Mytilus edulis: one gene and its partner. The protein of the gene in region 2 purifies or fractionates together with the protein of the main gene of each other region. This does not show direct contact. Links are inferred from orthologs where the notes say so. Each region holds a gene or a part of one and is shown on either strand. Other genes may lie near its edges.

What was found. The genes of interacting proteins can lie anywhere in the genome.
Region 1: the proteins of arrestin domain-containing protein 3-like (region 2) and octopamine receptor beta-2R-like purify together in Homo sapiens (affinity purification with western blotting; 6 studies listed by BioGRID and IntAct, with this or other methods). This does not show direct contact. The link is inferred for Mytilus edulis from reciprocal best matches to the Homo sapiens genes ARRDC3 and ADRB2.

What each region holds. Positions count from the first base shown.
Region 1 is NC_092347.1:83,094,047-83,100,662, forward strand, and holds octopamine receptor beta-2R-like, read left to right. Parts: upstream 1-4,651; 5' UTR 4,652-4,761; coding exon 4,762-5,922; 3' UTR 5,923-6,047; downstream 6,048-6,616. UniProt on the Homo sapiens protein: Beta-adrenergic receptors mediate the catecholamine-induced activation of adenylate cyclase through the action of G proteins. The beta-2-adrenergic receptor binds epinephrine with an approximately 30-fold greater affinity than it does norepinephrine.
Region 2 is NC_092347.1:60,067,493-60,075,637, forward strand, and holds the start of arrestin domain-containing protein 3-like, read left to right. Parts: upstream 1-5,009; 5' UTR 5,010-5,117; coding exon 5,118-5,376; intron 5,377-8,145. Other genes in the region: uncharacterized protein, read left to right, coding at 860-934, 2,499-2,692. UniProt on the Homo sapiens protein: Adapter protein that plays a role in regulating cell-surface expression of adrenergic receptors and probably also other G protein-coupled receptors.

The sequences.
Region 1 (6,616 bases), about 23 Mb from region 2:
TTCAAGTGGGGATTTAAATAATCATTTGTTACAAATTCTGATACATAAAATGAAACTTTCTTTTCACAAATCATTTAAGGAATTTATTTTAAATAATTGTTATAACATCACTTACAACAGTTTAACTTTTAAGAATATTAATGTCCAGAGCTGATATCAATAAATAATAATAATAAAAAAAGTTTATTCATGGTAAAAAAAACCAAAAAAACTTTTAAGTTAATAGGGACCCGCGTTATTTCAGAAAATATCTTATTGATTAAGAGAACAAAAACTTCTACGTTGTGGTCATTTAAGAGTGGCCTTGTATTTATTCAATGCTAACCATGTGGGCTTTGTTTTTTTTTTATATACCATAAATCGATTCGTTCATTCAGATATTTGTCAGTTTGCCTTGGCTCTTCAAGTCCAACACACAACTTCTCACGAAATTGGTATTTTTCTTACAAAAATTACATCCATGTGATGTATTCTTTTCATGGAGAACGAATGTTGCACCTTATTTTATTTGTTATCGTGTTTTTTTGTGTGTATCATTGACGTATAAGACAACCTGAATCTTCTTTATTCAAATTTAAAACATACGAGATGGCAATTATGACACAAAATAACTAAATTAAACTTACAGCAGAAGAAATTTAATGAACATCGCTTTTATAGTCTTCTAAATATCGAAGACGCGTGGTCTTTTTAAAAATGATGTAAATTTATAAGGAAACAACAAACAAAATAGTTCGAATATCTATACATGTATTGGAAAAAGTAACGGTGTGTAAATCATAACAATTATTTTATTTCAATGAAATCAAACTGTTGAATTTTTTCCGCTGCGAGGAAATTTTTAATTTTGGTCGCATTTTGAAAATCAATAAATCTTGTATTCTTGTTGGAAGCTGCACTGTGTAGTTTATACCCGTTTTTTTCAATGCATGGGTAGGCATTATATTCGTGATTATTTTTGCCCGAGCGATATCGAAAAACTATTATAAAAAGTGTCCTAGTTCAGTGAAAATGTACGTCATACTTATTTCCTAAACAAATAAATAAACAAACATTAATTAACATACAACACTACCAAAGGCCAGAGACTCCTTACTTGTATGATTTTGTAAAAAAATGCATCTTTTTAAAACAGTCGAAAACAAAATTGTCTGTCCAATTGAAAAGTCGAAGCCCAAAAAAGATGAACAGTGCATTATATAAACATAGAAGCTGGTTGCAAAAGTTGACGACAAGATCTATTTTATAACTTGAGTATGGCCTAATACTATTAACCTGAAATAAATATATTTATAGCAATTCCCTTGATACGAAAGATCTACATGTTGCCTTGGGCTTTTTTTTTTTCTTTTTTTTTTGCTCTTTGGTTGGGTTTTTGTCTCAATGACAATTCAATTTTCATTCTTATCATAGATATAACTGCATGTTAAAATAAGAATATGAAGTGTGATAGACAATCAGACACATTCTTTCCAGGGACCAACAGGCGTTATCAAGCTATAGGTCCCCGTATGGCCGTCGACCATTAGCAAAATACACACTTTATAGAATGAAAGAGGTCTTGGGATGAAAAAAACAAACATAAAAGATGAGCGAGAAAAAAAAATAGGGATACCGCATGGAAATTGGAAAATGGTCCGCAACATTAATTTAGTCAACTCACTTAGTTGAAATTAAAGACCTGGCGAATTTTAGCCTTTTGCAATGGATGTGATGTATGTTTAAAAAAAAATCATGGTTTGTTTGGACATTTTTATAAATCAAGTCTTGTTTTTAAATTATTTGCAAGTAAGTTTTAAGTCATGAACAAATAATCACTCACAGAAAGACGTCAAATCCATCAACAAAAGAAAAAAATTAATAGACGACCGACAACGCACAGAATATCATGTATGTGTTCCGGACCAAATGAGTATTTGGACCATACGCATATATCATGACCATAAGGGTATACTAATATGGTCCAACCATACACGTAAGGTCCAAATACTCATAAGGTCCGGAACATATTTTATTTGCGATCACAAATGCACGAAGACGTCCATTTCTATGTAAATTGGGTCGATTTTTTTTATATAGATAAGATGAATGCGTTTCTGTTGCCAAGTGTTTTTCACAAGTATAGTAGCAGTATAGCAGAACGGTTTAAGTTTCCTATATACACCAAATGATACATTTTGCCAATACAATAACGTAAATGCATGCAAATTTCACAAGGTTTAATCCAAATAGCTTTCTTATTATCCAATAACTTTCAAGTACGAAAAAGACAGGGCAGAAGTATATTTTGTCTTTATGTTTCGTATTTGCACAACTTTTGAAAGTGGATTATGCATTCGTTCTAAAATAAAATTAGACCAGATAAAAGTTAAAAGATTACATAACTCGACAATCGAAATTGTTAAATCCGAAAAAGATAATCAATCAATACATGCATTCAGTAAGTCATTTTTTTTTCTGAAAGAACATGGCTTTGCGATATCTTATTATGAAAATTGATTGTCGAAACATAACAAAAACACAAGTAAAGGACGTTTAATTAATCAATATAAATCAAAACACAAATTCCTGATTAGTATTTCGAATTATTTTATATAGGCGTTGAGAACCTTTGGTGACCCCACGGTTTAAATGTTTATATTAAGGACGTCGTGAGCAATGGGCGTTATAGACGATCGTTCACCTAATCTGTCCCAGTTTAAAGTGCGCCAATCAATGTCCATAGCCACACTGTTATGAATTCGATACTAAGTTTATTTTAAAACATTTAGATATAAAATTTATTAACCATAACACTGCTAATTTTCCTATTGTTGAAATATTAAGATGACCACAAAGCAAACAAAACAAGTGAAAAGAAATATGTTTTCTTGAAAGTGAAACATTATTTTTATTTCAAAGAGTCTTTCTTGACACACTAATAATCTTCAGGTCTGCATTAATTTACGGAATGCTTTTGATATTAACAACACACAGAATGAAAACTTTCTAAAAAAATATTTTTAAGTTATAAAGTTAGTATTATGGATGCACATTCACATTGATAAAAGTACCACTTAGGAACGAACCTAATGTTGTTCAGAATACTTTGTACGAATTTCAAACATTATGATAATGGTTGTGTTAATTTTGTCAGTCCTCGTACATCAATTATTCTAAATCACATTTCAAATACTGTGAAAGATTATTCGTTTGAAAAGGTCATTTTCATCATAACATTATTTGAAAAGTTGGATCAATGATATGAAGTCATGTTTAGTTTTTTAGTCAATTTTCGGACGTGTCCACTGTGGTAAATTCAGTACTGTTCAGACATTTAGCTTGCAGTCAACTGAGCACTGTTCAATTGCTTTTTAAACAAGTCAGTATAATATTGATATTTACAGGTAAATAATAACGAATTTGGCCACAGTGTATAAGTTTGATAATCGACTGATAGACTTAAAATTACACAACAATTTATTGTTCAGTCCATTTGTATATGTTCAGATTAAAAAGACCGTTTTAGATTTAAATTTATTTGATTATGAATTTTAACATGTAACTCAAGAAAGAAACACTTTGCATGTCTGTAGGTAGACCCAATAAGTCCTTTCATCTTTACATATACAGAATTGCAGGTCAGATAATGGAATCGAAATCTGAAGAAAGAGACATAAGTTATTAGATCAAAAAAATAAATCATGTTAAATATTCAATTGATGCATCTTATACATTATTTTATCAGCTAAAGAGATAAGTAACTAATCAGTTTATTCATTTCATAAAAGGCTAGTATCAGCAAGATACAGTATTGTACTAAAAAATATCCTGCAAATTGTTTTCTTCCTCTTTCTAAAAAAAAATATTTCTATATTTAGTCAAAAGCAACATGGAGATGCAATTTAGGTAGAGTAATTTAGATATGACGTATAAGAAGATACAATTTTATAACTTAATTGGATTACATTATATTAATCAGTTATTGTTAGAACTAATTGGTTGGTGTTATCCTCCTGCTTAAGAGTTAATATGACAGACATGTTGACAATAACACATGCTTTGACAAACAGTGTAGGAGTACTGTATCGTTCGCCATTCGATAGTTTTTGTTTGTTTAACTGATAATGATCATGCTTTGTAAAAGTTGCTATTTTGGGATCGAAGTAGTTCATCGTTCTTTAGCGAAGTTAAATTTTCTTAAGTTTTGTTTTGTTTATTGTGTTGAGCGCGATTCTCATAAATTAAACACCTTTCACTTTATGCTGGACATTTATTTTAAAAATAGGAAACCCTTACTAAACAAGACATCTTTAATGTTTATTTTCATCACTCATGATGTTACAGATCAGCAAAGAGGTAAATTGCTATATTACTTTTTGGACCTTTTGGATTATAGCTTTTGATCTTTTATATAAGCTTTGGATTACAAATATTTGGCCACGAGCATCACTGAAGAGACATGTATTGTCGAAACGCGCATCTGGTGCAGGAAAATTGGTACCGTTAATGTTATTACAGTTGTTTGTTTGATTATGATTTTTTAACCTATTGCTTAAACATCATACGCATATTTAGCTTTTACATTTATCAATCTATTCGAAACTTCTTCTTACAAATGTATTTACTTGTCTTTTTATATTTATTGTACTTTTGTTCTCACTTCAGATTATGTAATTGGGATATTGAAGAAAGAAACGTGAAGCACTGTAAAGGCATGACGTTTTAGATTATCCTTTGTTGGTTTGTCTTTTATGATTTCATGCTGTTTGGAAATGAACGATGTTAAAATCACAGATGTCACTGCAATCGCCAGAGATGATGCTGAGATTACATGACAACGCAACAAATAACAGTTTTGTAGTTAATGAAACAACACATACATCTTTACATGTGTTTTTATTGGTGATAAAATCAACAGTCATGACACTTATCATGTGCACTGCTGTAGCAGGGAACCTATTAGTAATTGGAAGTGTTGTTAAATTCGAACGTCTTAGGTCACGTGTGACAAATTACTTCATCGTATCTTTGGCCTTTGCTGATATTTTAGTTGCCGTTCTAGTAATGCCATTCAATGCCAGTATGGAAATTAGTGATAAATGGATATTTGGGTCATTTATGTGTGACATATTTAATTCGAATGACGTATTATTCAGTACAAGTTCAATTTTACATATATGTTGCATAAGTATGGATCGCTATATAGCTATCATGAAACCTTTAAAATATGAGAGAAAAATGACGAAATTCCGTGCTTTGTCAATGATTGCCGTTACATGGATAGCTTCACTCTTGATTTCATATATACCAATTCATTCGCAACTCTATACAACACACGAAAACGCACTTGTGTTGAAAAATAATCCGAATGCTTGCACTTTTGTTGTGAATCGTTTATATGCTATAATATCGTCCAGTGTTTCATTTTGGATACCATGTACTATAATGGTGTTTGTTTACATAAGGATTTTTATTGAAGCCAGAAAGCAAGAAAAACATATCCGGTCAGCTAGTGTTTGCTCAAACAAATCAAATGCCTTATATCCAGGTAGAAACGCTCGTGATATTTCTGATCGGAAGACTATGAAAAGGGAGCATAAAGCTGCAAAAACGCTTGGAATAATAATGGGCGTTTTCATTTTATGCTTTTTCCCGTTTTTCTCATGGTATTTAATTACAAGTATGTGTAAAAACTTTTGTCCATACCCACCAATACTAGGAAAAATTCTATTTTGGATAGGATATTCTAATTCGTGCTTGAATCCAATTATATATGCTTATTATAATCGAGAATTTAGGCAAGCTTTTAAAAGACTGTTAAAAATGAAGTCTCAATTTGATTCGTATAATTTTAATCATTGTTCTTCCGGTGATACGAAAGACACTGCTAACGTTCCCTTGGTTTATCTTAATGGCAATGGTGGACCAACTTCAGTGTAGGCATTTCATGTAAAATGTCAGAACAGAATATGGTCTAAATACAATCAAACTTCATGTGACAAAATAAAGTCTTCATAATATATATGTCTACAGTTGCTAGTATTTTATCGTTGATAAGTATTGATATACAATACATAATTGTTTCAGGTACATTAGAAAACGTTTTTGAACTAAAAGTGTATATAGACTGTATAAGCTTTTTTTTTCGATATCCTAAATCCAGAAATATATACATCTTTATTAGAAACTATATCCAGTGTGAAAACAATTCATATTACGAAAACAAAACAGCATTTACATATCTCTTCTAGATGATAATACTTGCTGTTGTTATTCATCAACAAACACATTATTTGGTTTCAAAGATGGACATGCAGGATACTTCAACAAACCTCTTCCGAAAGGGGTAGAATTTTCAACATTAATCGTTTTCCGACTAAAGACTCTACAATAACATGTCTTGACCGTCTGTATTTAGATCATTTTCAAGCTTTCTATGTACTGTTATATTTAATAAGACTGTATCATAAGTCCATAACTGCTATACGTACAATTTAAAATATCTAAGTTCGTTGTGCATGTGTATTTTTTCACAAAAAGAAACATGAACTATGAATATCATTTTGTTGTTGTCTATTATGAATTCGGTACATGTCTGAATATCTATGAGATGATTACATGTTCATGGCATGAC
Region 2 (8,145 bases):
TCTAATTGACACCTTACCGCATCTGCTTATTGTTGTATTATTCTCGAATCAAAGAAAGATAAGCCTTTTTCATTAATGTTTCCAATCGCGATATTTTTTTACCGTTTCTTCGACGATTTTGCTTATTGTATAATTGAAATGTTAATACATGTTTTTTATGTAAAGTTTTATTTGAGTACTTCATTTTTTCGATTGGCTCTGTCTGTGTTCTCCAGAAACATACACATAAAACTAAAAATATATGTACAATGTAGGAATATATAAAATCTATTAATACGAGTTTTAGAAACAGGCTCGCCGAGCTTTTCTCTTGTTTCAAGAGAGAACAAAATAATTGTTTCGTAATCGATAATTTCAACATTTTCGTTCGATTTACACGGAAGTTGAATACTGCAAGAATGTATTTGTATAAATAAAAAACAAAAAGTAATTTAACCCAATTTATACAAAGTTGGTTAACTGCATGAGAAACAGGTTACTCTAATAAGGATATCACCGTCATGCCAAATCTAAGACCTTATTGAAATTGCTGAAAGTTGTTGATTTTTCTTGTGAGGTTGGTAATTGCAAAAATAAATGTTATCTTCAAATGTATCAGGAGATTAGACTTTTTCTATTTTCACTTCTAGTTTCTCGTGTAAAATTGAATATATCACATGTAAAAGAAATCATGATCATTCAAATCATAAATGCATTTTTAGTTTTACAATAACCACATAAATAATTACAAACTAAAAACAGTTTGGTCTGTTAGATAGTTGTCTCATTGGCATTCATACCACATCTCCTCATTTGGTAACAGTATCAGCAGACGTTATGCTCACATTTTATTAATTCTTTCTTTCTTCTTCATTTCTAGATATCTTTCAGTCAACAAGAGTCATGAAGATTTCTGTTTGTATTCTACTCTGTCTGATGTTAGCCTTCGTTGGAAGTAAGTTATTTTATATAGTTATCAAAGGTACCAGGATTATAATTTAGTACGCCAGACGCGCGTTTCGTCTACATAAGACTCATCAGTGACGCTCATATCAAAATATTTATAAAGCCAAACAATAACAAAGTTGAAGAGCATTGAGGATCCAAAATTCCAAAACGTTGTGCCAAATACGGCTAAGGTAATCTATGCCTGGGATAAGAAAATCCTTAGTTTTTCGAAATAGTGTGTTTTTCTTGTGATGTTAAACTATTGTTTCAGAAACGGGAGAAGGTTTATTACCATTAAAACTTTTAATCCCGCTGCAAATGTTTACACCTGTCAGGAATCTGATGTACAGTAGTTGTCGTTTATGTATAATTCATACGTGTTTCTCTTTTCTCGTTTTTTATCAGGATTAGACCGTTGGTTTTCCTGTTTGAATGGTTTTACATTACTAATTTTTGGGGCCCTTTATAGCTTGCTGTTCTGTGTGCGTCAAGGGTCCGTGTTGAATGCCGTACCTTTACCTATAATGGTTTACTTTTATAAATTGTTATTTGGATTGAGAGTTGTATCATTGGCACTCATACCACATCTTCCTATATCTATATACAAAAATTCAAACTCTGAAACATTGGTTATTGTCCTCCTTGCTACAATACGTTCGCTTTAACTTTAGCAAACAAATGTTACCGCTGGTTTGGAGTTTGACTAATTTCATATAACCAGGGTTGGTTTCTTTATCTCAATCTCAAAATAAGACTTAACGAGTTTCGTTTCTAATTGTAAATGTTGTCAGTAGATCTGATTTTTTGAATATTTTTTTAATTTGACATTTTTCTACCGAGACGTTATTGACTTTCTTGAAACGATGTCTTTGCAATGAATAAAATGGCGAATTTAGTTTTTGTGCGTTAAAATGCATGCTTGATTTCGTTACTTTATTTTTCATTCTTTTATATGCCCGATTCTGTTCAATTTTTGTCTTGAAAATTTACTATATCAGCATATAAACCATAAAGTGTTTTTCAATTGTAATATAATTGTATAAAAATCGTTATAACAATAACTCGTATGAAAATGTATTTCAATATAGTCACAAGTCATTATTTAAAAAAATATCTATTTAATCTTTTCAGCTAGCATCGCAAATGAAGAAACGCTTGCAAATCGTCTTTTAAGGTATGATATTTGATGATTAAATGAAAAGTTCGCTATAAAATATAACAATAACTATTTGACAAAGAGGCCGTGTATATTTTTTTACATTCTTATTGCATATCATTTTACGTTTGAATTATAGTATTAAATGGTATTTCATTAACAACCTGGTAATTACTCTATTATTTGCAACCGTACCACATCTCCAAATTTTCATAGCAGTAAAAAAAAATCATTTGGAATTTTAAAAACAGAGAGTCAAAAGAGGACAGCAATTATATCATAAAAAAACCTGACGTCCGATATAGCTTCTAGTTTCATTGTGATGTTGGTCGCTTTGTCATTGACGCATTTCGCCACATTGCTTTTTAATTGTACCTACTTGTTTGAAAATATACAAAAATATTCTTATTTGTAGCCGCGAGAGACGCCGCGCTCCTCCTCCATTCTGCCTCAGTTATGGACAAAGATGTCGATCTGCCTCGAAATGTTGTTCTTATAGATGTGTTTACGGATATTGCAAATAGTGAAAGACTTGCTGGATTTGGACATGATGAAATGGATGATTATTTGAACAGCATGTTCTTGAATTATACCAAGAATATTTTTTAATTATTTAATAAAATTGATTATACAATGTTAATTTTTCATTGAAAGTTTTGTCAGGTTTGTTTTGAAAGAAACAATCATTTTGGATAAAAAAGGAAATGTTGTTTTAGTTTCTTAACACTAAGTTACAAGCAGACACTTTAAATTGCATTTTTGCATTCTCACATCTAAATTCATGCAATCTTGTAGGTTTTTATGAAAATTGATATCATCAGATGATATCGGCAATGTCTTGGTGATTTAGAAAAATAATTATATAATATCAGTTACTTTTACAGGAGTTATGTCTCTCTGAAATTTAATTGATATTGAACATTGTATTGTGAGCATTCTCACAACCTCATTTCTTGTTGAATTTTTTTTTATGAGGCTGATATCAGCCAGGTTTTGTAAGAGTGCCTACAAACTATTTTATAGGAGTCACGGCCCTTGGAAATATAAATACATGGAAAATAACATTTTTTATCGATCAAATGCCTACATTTCTTGTAAGATATTTAATCACAGTTTGATGTCCTTCATTGGTTATTTCCTTTGGGCAGATAAAATATGTGCAACGAGGGAGACTTTGGAACTCATTTACTAGTATATCAAGAGAACACCTTTTATCACCTTCGCGTTTTCAAGCGGCGTTTTTCATTTGCGCCGATTTTTTCTTTCATTTGCATGCGCCGATTTTTATTTTCATTTGCGCAGATTTTTTTACAGGTAAATCACAGGTGAAAAGATATAAGAAGATGCGGTATGAGTGCCAATGAAACAACTCTCTATCCCAGTCATTTTATAGTTGTTTATTCTTTAGTTTTCTATGTTGTGTTATGTGTACTATTGTTTGTCTGTTTCATTTTTAGCCATGGCGTTGTCAGTTTATTGTCGATTTATGAGTTTGACTGTCACTCTGGAATCTTTAGTCCCTCTTTCATCTACCATTTATCAACCTCTTCCGTAAGCCAGTTGTATAAATGTAATGAATTGTCAATCATAACATGTATATAACTGTTGTCCTCTGCTCACTACGGGGAGGTTGAAATAGGGTTTCGAGCAAGATAAATCAATATAAAAGCTATATACAAATGTATTAACATACTTTAAAATCAAGAAGTAAAAACCTAAGATAAAAGCACTCTGTTAATGCTAAATTAAGGATTCAAATCCATTAAAACGGAATACATTTAAATCATATTTTTTTTCTTGTCGAGTGTGTATAGGCAACACATCTATGATATATTCCTATAATTGTCGCTAACGGGGTCCATCTTTTCTTTGTCTGACTAACGTACTGATGCGAGCATTTCTATAGAGTTCGCATTTTAACATACGTTACGGCCTTGGTTTTCTTGATAAAATCTGTAAAAACATATAAGTTGGGGTGCAGCTGCTCAGAAATGAGGTGGATAGCGTTACAGTGTGCATATATATGTACTTAGTCTGTATGCTAAGAATGTAAGACATTTGTCATCAGAAGGAGCGTCAGACATATTGTCAAACGTGAAGCAGTCATTGATTTCATTTGGGGGAAGGAATGGTAACCCGAAAAAATGGGATAGCCATTTACCAATGAAGGCTTAATTTGTCTTTATACTCTGTGCTCAGCCCATGTAAACGTATTTACTTACCTGTAACTTACCTGTAAATCCAATTAGAAGAACAAATAAAATCGGCGCAAATGAAAAAATGAAATCGGCGCAAATGAAAGAATCAGTGAAAATTTTCAAAATCGGCGCAAATGTCATACGCCCTTTTCAAGTCTATGAAAAAGAACAATTTATAGTGACACTAAGACGTAACTTTCTGCATACACCCCGTCATAGAATGGGCTTTAAATTAAATGATACTCTACCACACTCCTTGAAAATATTATGTCAAAAAACTCATTTATCTAATTGATTTTGTTAGATATCAAATATTAAAAAAAAATAGTTTTCTCTGTTTGCATTATAACGTATACCTACCCATAATTTCCTTGATTCCATGTTGAATTCATGAGTTCAGTTGTATACATAGCAGAGGGGTCTTAATTTCAACTTGAAAAGCCGTATATTTACTTCTCAAAGTGTTTACTATTTTCCTGGGAACAGTATATCTAACATAATATATATGTTCCTGCTATTTTCTTATAAATTATTTACAATGTTTATAACTTAATATACAGTGAGATAACTTTTTACCTATTATACTGACAAATTGAAAACATATTGTATAACATATGTCTGAGCACGCAGTCTGACATCGATGTCATCGATAATAAATATTAAAATCAACATTGATCAATTTAAATTTTCCCGCGCAATTATCTTTATGGGTCATTTTCCAGCATCTGTTTTACTTCCGGTTGCAGTGATTGGGGAAAACAAAATGTCGCTCGACAAACAAACTCCGGGACAAATACTTACATTTATCTTTGTAGACGATCCTATATAGCGTTAAAATGGGAAAACTAAAATGTTTTGAAATCATACTTGCGGGAAACAAATCTGTTTTCCACCCAGGCGAAAAAGTATGTGGGAAAGTCGTCGTCGATCTGAAGGGCGACATGAAAATGAGATCTCTGCGCATTTTTATGCGAGGGGTAGCAAAGGTACACTGGACTGAATCAAGAAGTACAGGCAGTCGTCTTGGTTCTTACACTGAACATTACAATGCAGAAGTGGAATATTTCTTTAAAAGACAAGTTCTGTTTGGAGGAGGTAATTTTCTTGTCGGTAAACATTAACACAAATGAACAGCTGATTAAACTATTTTCATAGACAGGTCAGGTCGTTGGTACCCCTACTATGGGCACTACCAGTGTAGAAATAGCTACATTTGTATATAAATGAGGCCTGACCAATAACTTGTATAGGCTCACTGAAACATTGCCTTGTTTGTCAAGATTCTCTGCATGTACAGTAGTTAAAAGTCTGCAAGAAAAAGGGTGGTCGGTAAAAGTGGTAACCCGAACCCGGACCCGAACCGGAATTTGCCGGAAATTTGCCAAACCGGAATTCTATTTTACATATATTATGATCTTTGCGTTTCGATTTTTTCTACTAACGTTTATGCATTTGATGTATAATTTAATTCTATCTCATGTATGAAAAGATTTTTGTCCAAACATCACTAACAAACAAAAATTTAAGGTTTATTAATTTCCACCTTGGTAAAAGTGGTAACCCGAACTCGGCAAGCTATTTTTCTTTATATCTCTGTAATATATGAATTCTTGAATGGACACTCAGACTTCGTTTGAAGTAAATCATCTTTTATATAAAAAACACAAAGATTTTTCCAAGCTGTATAAAACGTAACGATTTATTTCATTTCTAAGCGAATAGGTGGAAAACCGAACCCGAAAGGGAGACCACTCGGTTTTTTTAATAGTATATAAAAAAAAATCTCCGAATTTGATTCATTGCTGTTGTGCCGAAGTTTGCGTTAATTTATTCTAATTGATTCGAATATTATTCACCTCTTTGGTCTCCGGAAGATTTTTGTAAATATGATAAATATTTGTTGTTAAGTTGCTGTCTCATCAAAATGTACTCCAAATCAGATTTTATTGAAATATCATGGTATATTAAAAAGAGAAACGCATTTCAACGAGGTGAAATCAAATAAAAATAAATTCATATTTATATATATTCTCTTAGTAAAATAAATATGGTACAAACACATTAACGCGAACATACGTCGCCTTACTTAGTGAACTTCAAAAACGTCAAATTAGCGATGCTGTGACATATTGGTAGACCACCATGCGACCGCTTCATTTTGATGATTTTTAGATTTCTCTGCTTTACTTTATTAACATCAACATGTTCCTTTTACAAAGGAATTTGATTTTATAGTGATGTTTTTCAAAATACTTATGTTGTTTTTACTTTTTTTTTGAAGATTTAATAGTAACAACTTGTCCTTTTAATAATTGTAAGAAAAAATGAAAACGCTTACATTGTGACATTTTGGTAGACAACCTTTCGACGCATTGATATTCGATACTAATCGATAAAAATGTTTGATGTATTGCTTGACCCGTATGGGTGTAATTTTGCAATAAAGATTTTTTTATAAGAATGTTATTGTCTTCTCATTGGCAATTCTACCATATCCTCTTACTTGTATATTTATAATCTTCTGCGGTTTTTTTTGTTTGTTTTTTTTTAAATCGCAACGCTTGTTTGTAATTATCAGCGTGTGATTTATGCTTTGTAATCTCTTTGTGTTTTTTCCAAGTGTAAACTTTTTGAATGATGATCTGTATTATTCTTCGGTATTTCGTGTCTTATTTAAAGTATAACTAAGTTTGAAACTGAAATACAAAGCTTCTTTTCGTAGGTCAACCGCTAAATGGAGAAATTATCATTTCAAAAAATCGCGAAGATATATATGGGCAACTGTATAGACAGATATCTGTAACTGTAATAGACGTTTAGAGAAGGATATCTGTTGAGTTGCGTTGTTTCTGCTTCATTCATTATCTTCGATTTAATATTTCGAACCATCATTTTTTTCGGAAATAAAACTGTCCTAAATTTGTCAGAACATATTAAATCATCGAGATAAAAATATATGCCCACAAAGTTATAACATCATTAGCAAAATTCCACTGTTTATGATCTTCACACTAAATCCTTCGGATGTTGGATGTGTTATAAATAATAACTTAGTCTTAGATGCATGATTATTTATTAGTCTTTAATAGCTTTTAGCTAGCTTTCAGTACTTTACTCCCTGATCTGTATTTACTATTTAGTGTCTGTTTGTTTTCGAGATGTACAAGGACCCTTCCACGTTCACTTTGTGTAAAATTTATTTCTATTTGTATCCACCTGATGAGTTGAGCCTTTCAAACTGATTTTTTAGCCTGCTCTTATGTTGTACAGTTAACATGTTTAACATCGCCATATTCTGTATATGCCTAGGCCTAACCAAAATTATGAGCCTGCAATCCAGTGGATGTCGTTTGTTGCTGTTACATATTTGCCTATCGTTATTTATTTTTTGTGTACCTAAATAAGGCCATCAGTTGACTTGTTGAATTGTGCTACATTTGTCTTTCAGGGCTTAATTAATAGCGGTATGGACATAGCTCACTGTTAAAGACCGTACAGTAACCTATAAGTGTTAGTTTCGGTGTCATTTGGTCTCTTCTGAAGCAGTGGCGTAGAAAAAATTTTGAAAATCTTTTTATGCAGAAAATTATATATTTTTTTCGGACATTTTCTATTTGCACGTGTACTCCCCCAGAATCCGACACTTGTTAGATTTTTTATGTAATTTCAAAATACCCACCAGGGGCGGATCCAGGAATTTATTAGGGGGTGGTCACCTTTTGAAATCTTAAATTAAAATTCAATTTTTTTATTGGTATCATGAAAATAGTTACAACTATAGAATATATATTTCCAACATAATTTTATTGTTTTCTCAAAACTACCATCATTCAATTCATAAACATGATAAATATTTGATTTAAA